Sus scrofa: one gene and its partner. The protein of the gene in region 1 purifies or fractionates together with the protein of each later gene. This does not show direct contact. Links are inferred from orthologs where the notes say so. Each region holds a gene or a part of one and is shown on either strand. Other genes may lie near its edges.

Region 1 (4,937 bases):
TGTAAAACATACTCTTATTTTATGTACAGCCATTAAAAATACACCCCCAGTTTATGAGACAATAAAATACCCTGATTTCAGAGATGTTAAATGTCATGGATAGTGGTTATTTTTATTAAACCAATAATTTATTAAAAACTTATAAAAAAGGGCAAAAATTTTTTTATTTTCCTAAATGCATTTTGCTGTTAAATGTATGTGTGACGTTTTGAATGTTTTCTGTAATATTCTAATTGGCTATGTTTCTGCATATCCAAACAATTAAATTTTTAATCTGACTAGTAAATTATTAGTATATCATATTAACATTTGATTATTTCTTAGTTAATTTCAGATTAATTTTTACTTATCTTTGGAGCAGCCAGAGTGATTTAAGCAGTGATTTGCAGAAAATAATTTTGAAAAATTTCACTCCTTTTTTAATAGAAATCTAATTGGCTTGTGTTTTCTTCTTTCCCAAGGTACAAACTCTGAGCTGTCTAACCCATCTGAAACTGAATCTGAGCGTAAAGATGAGCTAAGTGATTGGTCGTTGGCAGGAGAAGATGATCGAGAGAGCCGGCATCAGCGTGACAGCAGGAGACGCCCAGGAGGAAGAGGCAGAAGCGTTTCAGGGGGTCGAGGTCGTGGTGGACCACGTGGTGGCAAATCTTCCATCAGTTCTGGTAGTCTTTTATATACTATGTCAGCATCCTTTCTTTGTAAACAGTGTAATTTTATGCAAGTTATTTATTCATTTTTCAGGGCCACCCATTTTTGCAAGTTTCTCTTTTTAAACTGAGGAAAATAGAAGAACAATTATATACATAGCAAAATAAGGAAAAGCCCTATTAAGTGTTTCTCAGTGAAGGTTTAGCTAGAGTATTCAGGTCAGAGCAACTTGTTGGCTCATTTCTCTGTTTTATTGGTCAGATGTTTTATCCATTCAGTTTTTCGGGGCTTAGGTAAATTAGAACATTTTTTTTTTTAATCCCCCTAGCATTTTTCAGGTTACGTATTTCTGTTACCCAGACAAACCCAGGGATTCTAATGCGCAGAGAGATCTAAATGCCTTTATATACTTAATACTGAAAATTAACTGAAATGCATTCTTGGCTACACTATGTAACACTTTGGGAATAGGGAAAAATTGTGAAATCAACACCTTTAAAAAATTTTTATTGTTTGAGGAATTGACCTGTAAAGAGGAGTGTTTTAGAAGACTGAGATTTGAGGTGTATAAGCAACTTTTTATTCCTGTCTTTTTGAAAATTTCATATGCTGTAACTTAGTGGAGTTGTAGGAGTTAGTTGCCAGAATGTTGTTGCTTTAGCATAATGGGCTGGGGAAAAATCGTCAGGGAGATATGGACCTAGAGTATATCAGGGATATAACCTTAACATATTGCTGTATGGAATTTTTAAGAAAACCATTCTTAATGTTACATGCCCTGTGACAATTTATATAGTATTTTAAATATTACAGAACACACATGTACATATAATTACATACATACCAGACATGCTTACAAATAAAAAGAAAATAGAGTTCCTGTTGTGGTTCAGCAGAAATGAATCCGACTAGTATCCATGAGGATGCAGGTTTGATCCCTGGCCTTGCTCATTGGGTCAGGGATCTGGCATTGCCGTGCGCTGTGGTGTAGGTCACACATGTGGCTCAGATCCTGCATTGCTGTGGCTGTGGTGTAGGCCGGCGGCTGTAGCTCTGGCTTGACCCCTAGCCTGGGAATCTCCATGTGCTGTGTGTGAAGTCCTAAAAAGACAGAAAAAAAAAGGCAACTGGATCAAATCATACTGCTTACGGACTTTGAAAAAGATATTCTGTAGTAGATCTGGTAGTATGCTTTGGCCCTAAGCTCAGTTTACAGGGTTTCAGGGAATTTTTTTTTTTTCCCAAGTACATTGCTCACCATTATCAAGGTTTATAAAATTATAGTATGCTGAATTACAACATATATGTACTTTACCTAGTGTTTCTGATTAATGGATAAACTTAGTGTCTTTTGCAAAGATGCTAGCTTGCTAGCTGTTACCAAAGGAAACTTAGAAAGAAAAAATCGTGATTAGGTGAATTTCTTCTATAATTTGGTGGAGGCAATAAATGCACATAGGTAAGATGGGTATTTTTTCCTTATGAATTATATCTTAAAACCTTTCCTTTCCTTCCCTCACCCCACCTCACCCCACTTTCACTCTTTGTTTCTGGAGATGGGAGTCCTAGTCAACATTCATTTCCATGTTTGCCTATAACCAGTTAGAATTTTAAACTTTTTAGTGTGCTTTTTTGTGTAGACTTGTTTTGCTTGCTTTAGTTTGTAGTAATAGACTTCTATTATGTCATGGAGTAGGGGTGTTGAGTCTTATTTGGAAATAATTCATTAACATTGGCACAGAGAAGTAGCAGCCACTTTGAATTCAGTTATGGAGACTAAAAGCTCTTTCTTGGAATTAATTCATATTAGTTGAATTTTGTTTTCCTTTTTATTTCTCTAGCCTCTGGACAAGGTTAGCTAGGAATGTGAATGTAAAATAGCATGTAATAATATATTGTTTCCTAATATGTTTTCAAAACAAGTCAAAGATAAGTGGTAGAAAAGCCAAGGTGTCCACTCATCTTCTACTTTAATTTTTCATAGCCATTTAAAGTTTTTTCATATTTGTTATTTTTCAGGTAAAATAGTAATACAGAAAACATTTTATCTGAAGACAGTATATTTTTATTGGGGGGAAATTGAAGTTTCTTTATCATTAACATAGTTCAATGTAGATCAAAACATTCCGAATAACTGCAGCTCTCTTAAACAAATATTTCTTGCCTCTGACATGCATATAGTGCTCAAAGATCCAGACAGCAATCCATACAGCTTACTTGATAATACAGAATCAGATCAGACTGCAGACACTGATGCCAGCGAATCTCATCACAGTACTAACCGTCGTAGGCGGTCTCGTAGACGAAGGACTGATGAAGATGCTGTTCTGATGGATGGGATGACTGAATCTGATACAGCTTCTGTTAATGAAAATGGGCTAGGTATGTAAGCACTTAGGGAAAAGATATATATTATTGTATAATATTGAAAATGTATGATGCTTTTTTCAAAAAGAAATTCCCAGACATATGCAATTCACAAATTGAATTTTTCTTAGTGTTTACTTCAAATGAGGTAGATGGCTTTGTGTCTCTTTTTACATGTCTAGTTCTCAGATTTGTATAGCCAAATTATTTGAAACTGGGAGGGTTTATTAAAGTGCCCTTTTGATGCCATTAAAACAGTACAAATATTTCAACTGCAAGGCACTTAATACTCTTAATGTTCCTAAACCAAAATTGGGCTTTCAGCTTGCCTCATTAAATATCATTATAAATGATACTGATAAGAGGTGTGTGTACTGAATAGGTGTTAATTCAGCAAAATTCAGGCTAAAATGTTATTAACTTTGGTAAAAACTAAACTATTAAGAGAGGAAAACTTCATTCCTGAATGGTGATAATTTATATTACGTCTTAGAGATCATTTAATCAAGAATTAAACCCTCTTAATTTCCAGATTGATAATTTGATTTTTAATCTAGTAGGAATGTTTAAAATAACAAAAGCATTTTTCTAAGTGGGTAATATGTATTATCTTTCCTCTTTAATTAAAAGTTTGTCTCGCCCTTTCTTAAATCTTTGAAGGAAGAGAAAATTTGGGGGTTTTTTTGTTTTGTTTTGTTTTTGCTTTGTTTCTTGCTGTGTTCTTGTCAGTATAGTTCATGGTGAACTTTGCAATTACAGATGATAGTGAAAAAAAACCCCAGCGACGCAATCGTAGCCGCAGGCGTCGTTTCAGGGGTCAGGCAGAAGATAGACAGCCAGGTAACTTGAGTGGACCTGTTGACAACACCAGGTCACAAGCATGAAAAAAATGTCATGTGTCTGCTTTCTAAATATATTATACTTACATGTACACATGTGTGCATATACATTCAAGATGTGCATTGCATAAATTGTTTACTCAACTAATAAGACTACTATTCTTAAGAAAATGCATTCTTCCTTCACACCATAAATGTTTAGTAACCTGTCTAATTAAACTAATGTTGTGTCTCAATTTTTTACATGGAAATACTGTTGAGAAGACCATTATTTTGGCCACTTGGCAGATTCTGCACAATTGAGTTGGGGCCTGCCATCCCAGGGACTCTTTGTAGATTGTGATTGAGGTTGATTGGCAAATCTGGAAAGCTTTTGCATGGTGCCTGCTTATTATATCTGGATTCAGCACCTCATTTTTATGGGAGTTCTAATACCCACAGTTTAAAAAAGTATAAATGAGAAAAATACTTGAAAGTGTCTTTTTTCTAATAAGAGGAATGCATGTTACGTTTTCGTTTATTGTAGTGTAATGCCTTTTCCCTTACACCTACTAACTATTCAAATTAATAGTACTTACTTAGTTTTAGAATGTTAATTTAAGTAGATAAAATTTTTAGTAACTTAAAAGAAACTTGTTTGCTGTGTCTATACTATTTTGAACATAATTCCATTTCTTGTGTACAGAGAATTACATGTATATTCACAATGAAGAAATTGTGTGCACCAGAAATAAACCCCTTTTAAACTAATCAATTTTGCATTCTTTCCAAAGCAAATTCTTGTGTTTTCCCCAAATAAAGAATGTAAATTCCAGTATCTTCAGTATTTTAAGTTTAGTGGTTGTAGAGACATTTGAGAAAACTGGTTTTAAGGGTATTAGTTATCATTCTTGAAAAAAAAAAGCTCATGTTTTAAAGGTAGTTGTAAATTTAAAATGAATTAAATATTGTCAAAATAGGTTTCTAGGAAATGTTTCTTACTGTTTTCTCTCTCTTTAGTGTTAGAAATATCTGTTAGATAAAGAGATTGTATTTATTTTTTATTTTGAAGCTCTGGCATAGCAGTGAATGGTTTCTCGC
Region 2 (5,635 bases), on another chromosome or scaffold:
TCTCTACCTAAACCTTTGAGATTCTCTACGTTAACATAATAAATATTCTCTACTTCAGTATGAGCTCTGGTGCCCCACTCTGGCTCAGAGGGTTAAGAACCCAACATAGTGTCCTTAAGATGTGGGTTTGATCCCTCAGTGGGTTGTGATCTGCGGAAGCGTAGGTCACAGATGTGGCTAGGATCCCACCCTGCTGTGGCTGTGACATAAGCCAGCAGCTGTAACTCCCATTCGACTCCTAGCCCAGGAACTTCCATATGCAGCAGGTGAGGCCGATAAAAGAAAGAAAAAAATAAATGAATTAAAAAATATATATATAAATGAATATATATACACACACATATATGGGCTCTAATACAAGTCACCCATAAGATTATGTCATCCTTTTGTCTTCACAAGACTAGTTGGTTCAAGACTCATCAGAAAGTACATGAAACTCCCAAGTTTGTAAAAAGATAGACTTCCTAGCCCCATAGATTACTCCTGACTTTATGAGTCCCTGCCAAACAAAAGCTGCAGTCTGGTGTAAGAAACATATAAACAGATAAGTAGCAAAACAAAGTAGTAAATGTCACAATATAACACTGGTAGGGATTTACAACAAACTAACAAAGACAGGAAAACTCTATGATTGGGTAGAGACCCTGGTTAGGGAATTCTGATTGGCAGGGGAATGGCCTCCAAGGTCAACTGTATCAGACTTTACTAGGAATCTACAACTTAGTGCTGCTCCCTGGCATTACAGATATACAAAAACATAGGTTACAGTTTCCCACCCTTAAGGATCTCAGAATCCAAAGAAGAACAATTTACTATGTGTTTGGAACCAAAATAATGAGGTTAGCCTTTCTAACACAGATAGGATCATACCAGAAAGCAGTAAAAGACTGTCTATAAATGAAATCACACAACTAGTTTGAAGAACTAAAGGTCAATGGGAAAGAATGAAAAAAAAAAAAAACCTCAAATAGAGGGGATTCAAGATTATTCAAGGCAACCTTGTGAGGTAAAAAACCGAATACAGAAATTCCAGTTCAAAAAACAAAAACAAAACTTAAAAGGGTGAGTTTTCAACTCCACAGTTTGTTATGCTAATAGTGCTCTACACAAAAACCGTAAGAACAACAAAGGTTAAAAGCACCAGATTGGGAACCAGCCCACTATGCTCACCATTCAACTCCATCACTTTCCAGCTAAGTCATTTTTTTTAACAGTTCGGTGCCCCAATCTCCAAGGCCTGTAAAGTAAGGTGCCTGTAATGCCAGGAGTAGCCTCTTCAAAACAAAGCTGTAGCACTCTAACTTTACTCACGAAATCAAATCCATCCTTTAGGCACTTGAAACCTCCATAATCTGGCCCTCAAACTTTAAGGTCTCAATCCTCATTGGACACCTTTCTATTTCCAGGCACCAGAGGGATCTAATGTCAGTTCTGCACACCATAAGCACTTTCCTACTTCTGTCCCTCAGTCTCCAGCGACTCTGGATCTAGAAAGCTTTTCCTCACCATCTTTCAAAATCCACTTCTCTAGGAAATTAACTCTCCTTCCTCTCCAATTCCATACCACCTTTGCTTCTCTGGAAATTGTGAACAATTTCCCCTGTTTTTGTGTTTGTTGTTTTAATGCCTCCCTCTCTCCTCTTTTCACTAAGATAGTGAACTTCCAGAGAGCAGAGGCAAATCTTTTTCAACCTCCTTCTCATTCCTCATCCCAGACTGCGCCTCTGCAGGCCTGGTAAAGCGTTACTAAATTAAACTGGATGTTTAAAACCCTAAAGGCCGAAGTTCCAGAAACTGCTTAATTTCACATAATTTTTAGTTGGTTTCAGGTCCCAAAATCTTGACATGAAACATCTTTAAATCAGAATATCGCCATCCTTTCAAGAAAAGTTCTACGGAGCATCCACACGGGTTGACAACGCGGTCATTCTTAGCTTTAGAAGTTGTGTGTGTGCTCCGGAGGGCAGCTGGAGGGCAGCTTCCCCGCGTTCGGTACCTTACTTTGGAATAAAGAGAACCGAGAGGGGGCCCGCCACCAGCTTGGGCTGTGCTCTGCCCTGCCCTCAACTTCCCGCGGGTCGGCGGGCTCTGGCCGCGCTCGTCCCTCTCCGCCGCACTCGGTTCTCCAGCCCTCGCCTCCCCAGGTCCCGCCGGAGCAACACCCCCGGAGGGGCAAGACGGCGCTGCGGGTCCCACCAGAAGGCTCGGCTCGGGCCTGCGCCGCCGCCAGCCCAGCCGCCCTGCCCGCCTGCCCCCGGCCTCTCCCCAGCCCGTCTCCCGCCACCCAGGGCCCAGGCCGCGCCGCCGCCGCCCCAAAGGGAGCTGGGGGACTCGCTCGCTCCGCGTGGCGCCGGGGGCGGAGCCGTCCCGGAGGTTCCCTCGGAGAGGCCGGGGGCGGGCGGCGGCCTCCGCCTACCCCGACACGCACCCCACCGCCCCCAACCCCAACCCTCCTCGGGCCCCGGCCCGCGCCCGCGGCCGGCGGCACTCGCCACTTACCAACCCGCCTGGGACAACGCCGCGCTGGAGACGTCGGCCATGGTAGCTGCTTAGGCCGGGGGTGGTGGGGGGCTCAGGTGGGGGTTGGGGGGAGGTCTGCTACTTGAGACCAAAAAAAAAAAGAAAAAGAAAAAAGAAAGAAAAGAAAAGAAAAAAACTCCTCTGGTCGGCTCTGCAACTGGGCATGCTCAGTGCGCCGGGCGCTTCCGCGTGCGGGTTCCGCTGGCCGCGTTTTCCGAGCGGCCGCGGAGGCCTGCCCGGCTTGGGCTGCGAAGCTGCAGCGCGCCGGAGGCGGTGATCTGCAGAAGACTGGCCGGGGTCTGCACGTCTGGGCCAGTTTTGTCGGGCCCGGAGCATGGGGCGGCCCCTCCACCGAAGGCCGGCTGCTTTTTGTTCGGGGTCACTTTTCTGAGTTGCACACCTCGGAGACTAGTGGGGCGGTTCTTTGTACAGTAGAGAGCCCGCCTTTCCAGCGCCGACAGGCGGCCACCTCCGAGAGGGCAGGACAACACTAGACCTGAGACGCACGGGCGATGGCGGGAAAGCGCTTCCAGTTTGGCGCTAATAAGGCCACGTTTAGTACAGTGAAACTGTAAGGGTGTTCCAGCTCAGTCTACACAGAAGAAAAGTTTACTTTCTTATCAATATTCGCTCCACTTCACTCGACTTTTCCATCTGCCCCGGATGCAAATATAATTGGATTTTTTTCGGTTCCCCACAGGCAAATCGGACTGTCCAGGTCCCACACCACAATGAAAGTAAGTGGGTCAATTCGAGAAAACCTGCACTTAAGGGATATGGGGAAATAGGACAGTTGTGTCGGTGCTTGTTTTTCCTGCCGCTCTCCCACTGGGCTGGGCCACGTCCCGGCGCGGCCCTCTGACGTTGGCATGCACACTGCCAGGCCTAGTTTCTGCCGGGCCCCTTGCCGGTGCCCTTCCCTGGTTCTCCAGAGGACCGAAACGTAGGAGCGGGTCCCCAGTGGGCATGCGCAGCAGCGTCGCTGAGCGGCGCAGCAGACGCTGCAAAGTGATTGGGTAATCAAGATCCACGCCAGCCAATCGGAGGAACAGGCAGACGGGGCGGTGGACTCGGAAGACGCGCCTTGAACGTTTGCTCCGCCCTCCGGGGTCTTTTAGGGCTGTGGCTGATGGAAAGAAGGGTTTTTCCGAATAGTTGTGGCCCTCGTCTGGAAGCTGTTGAAACCTTGGACGCATAGCCACGGCTGCCTCATTTGTTTCATCACCCACACGGACTTCTAACAGAGACTGCGAAACTGGGCAGAGCCGCTCTTGGACCAGGGAGAAAATTGTCAGTTACAGAAGGAAGAGAATAGTTATCCTGGGTGGAGCTAAATTTCCTTAATACATTTTTTTTATTATTATTTCAACTAGGGTATTCTGGTTGGGCCTCCTAAAAGACATAGTTTTAAAATCACGATGCTTTGCTTTGATGCTGTTGAAATGTGTGTCCAAGCACGTTACTTAGATACTGATTTTAATGAAACATATTTCCAACCACTTTTAGAATCAGAAATAACTGCAGCCTACACTTTGCTTTAGTACACAATGTTTAAGCTATACATATGCTACAAGTCTATTTCAATTTATAGGCACAACTAAAATATCCAGGAGTCAGGAAGATATTGTTTTGATGATAAACAGATGAGTCAAAATTGAATTGCTAATAATTTTTATTGGTTGTTAGAGTCTTCTCTTAACCACCTACTTTATGCGATTACTGTAACATGTTAACTGTGAAAGTTATATGTTGTCCCAATCATCAGAATTCTTCACTGGTTAAATGCAAAGCCTTTATACATTTGGTCTCGCATGCAATGTATACAAGAAAAATTTACCATTGTATGGTATTTACAATAACTTTAATAAAATGTTCCACAAAGCACTAAATTCCCTTATTCTAGGAAGTGATTTTAAAAATGGGTTGATGATTCCAAATGCAGGAATTTGAGATATAAGCTGTTCAATCTTCACGCTATTTATGATATATTTACTCACATACTCCGTAAACATGAAAATAAAACAAAACCAGAGGCATTGTGGCTCAGCGGGTTAAGGAGCCCATGTAGTCTCCAGAGGGATGCGGGTTTTCTCCTTGCCCCATTCAGTGTGTTAAGAATCCAGCATTGTGGTAAGCTGTGGCCTCGGTAGCAGATTCAGCTCCAATCCATTATCGCCATGGTTGTGGCATAGACCTCAGCTGCAGCTCCTATTGGATCCCTAGCCCAGGAACTTACATATGCTGCAGTTGTGGCCATAAAAAGTAATAATAATATTATTAATAAAGGTTAAAAACTTTTCTTTGAAAGGTGTACTTTAAAATAAATGTAGAACAATAGAATGAGAAAATGACCATTCTTCAACTCAATTACAAATGATTTGAACAAGTCCATAAGAGAATGCTAAAAGCCACGGGGTAAGATAATGAAGGACTACAGGATATTCATTTGGTCTCAAAGTATCAAACCATAACTTATTTATTACAAAAGGGAAAAACATACCTTTACCTTGAAAAAATGACTAGCTTAAATAAGAGTCATTAATGGGGCAATCTGATATTATGTTCCTACAGAAATACGCATCATCTAAGAAATATTCTTGCCAAAATTGTATAACCTGAACTTAAGTAAGCTTCTAGACAGTAGTTCCCAACAGGTGGCAGCGGCAGGGGGGGGTCTGCTCACCCTGTACCCCCAACTTCTGAGCATGTTTAGCATGTGTAGAGACATTGTGGTTGTCACAGCCTTGTAGGAGGAGGTTGCTATTAGACATTGTGCAATGCACAAGAAAGCCACTTGATCCAAGATGTCAGTAGTGCCAAGGCTGAGATATGTAGGGGATATTGGAACAAGTAAAACACACGGAAATGGGCAGATAAATCTAGAATGTGGCATATTCTGCAAGCAACCTGGCCTGGACTGTTCAAAATAGGCAATGTAAGTTTTTTAAACGACTTTTTATTTGTTTGTTGTTTTTTGGCTGTTCTATTTTATTTTGGGTGCACACTCAGCACAAGGAAATTCCTGGGCCAGGGATTGAACCCGAGCCACAGCCACAACCTGAGCCAGTGCAGTGACAATGCCAGATACTTAACCCACTGTGCTATACTGGAACTC

Evidence for each region. The genes of interacting proteins can lie anywhere in the genome.
Region 2: the proteins of FXR1 (region 1) and TDRD3 purify together in Homo sapiens (affinity purification with mass spectrometry; 3 studies listed by BioGRID and IntAct, with this or other methods). This does not show direct contact. The link is inferred for Sus scrofa from reciprocal best matches to the Homo sapiens genes FXR1 and TDRD3.

The regions. Positions count from the first base shown.
Region 1 is NC_010455.5:118,890,373-118,895,309, forward strand, and holds part of FXR1 (fragile X mental retardation syndrome-related protein 1), read left to right. Parts: intron 1-461; coding exon 462-665; intron 666-2,832; coding exon 2,833-3,033; intron 3,034-3,777; coding exon 3,778-3,858; intron 3,859-4,937. UniProt on the Homo sapiens protein: mRNA-binding protein that acts as a regulator of mRNAs translation and/or stability, and which is required for various processes, such as neurogenesis, muscle development and spermatogenesis.
Region 2 is NC_010453.5:33,255,354-33,260,988, reverse strand, and holds the start of TDRD3 (tudor domain-containing protein 3), read right to left. Parts: upstream 3,368-5,635; 5' UTR 2,541-3,367; coding exon 2,500-2,540; intron 1-2,499. UniProt on the Homo sapiens protein: Scaffolding protein that specifically recognizes and binds dimethylarginine-containing proteins. Plays a role in the regulation of translation of target mRNAs by binding Arg/Gly-rich motifs (GAR) in dimethylarginine-containing proteins.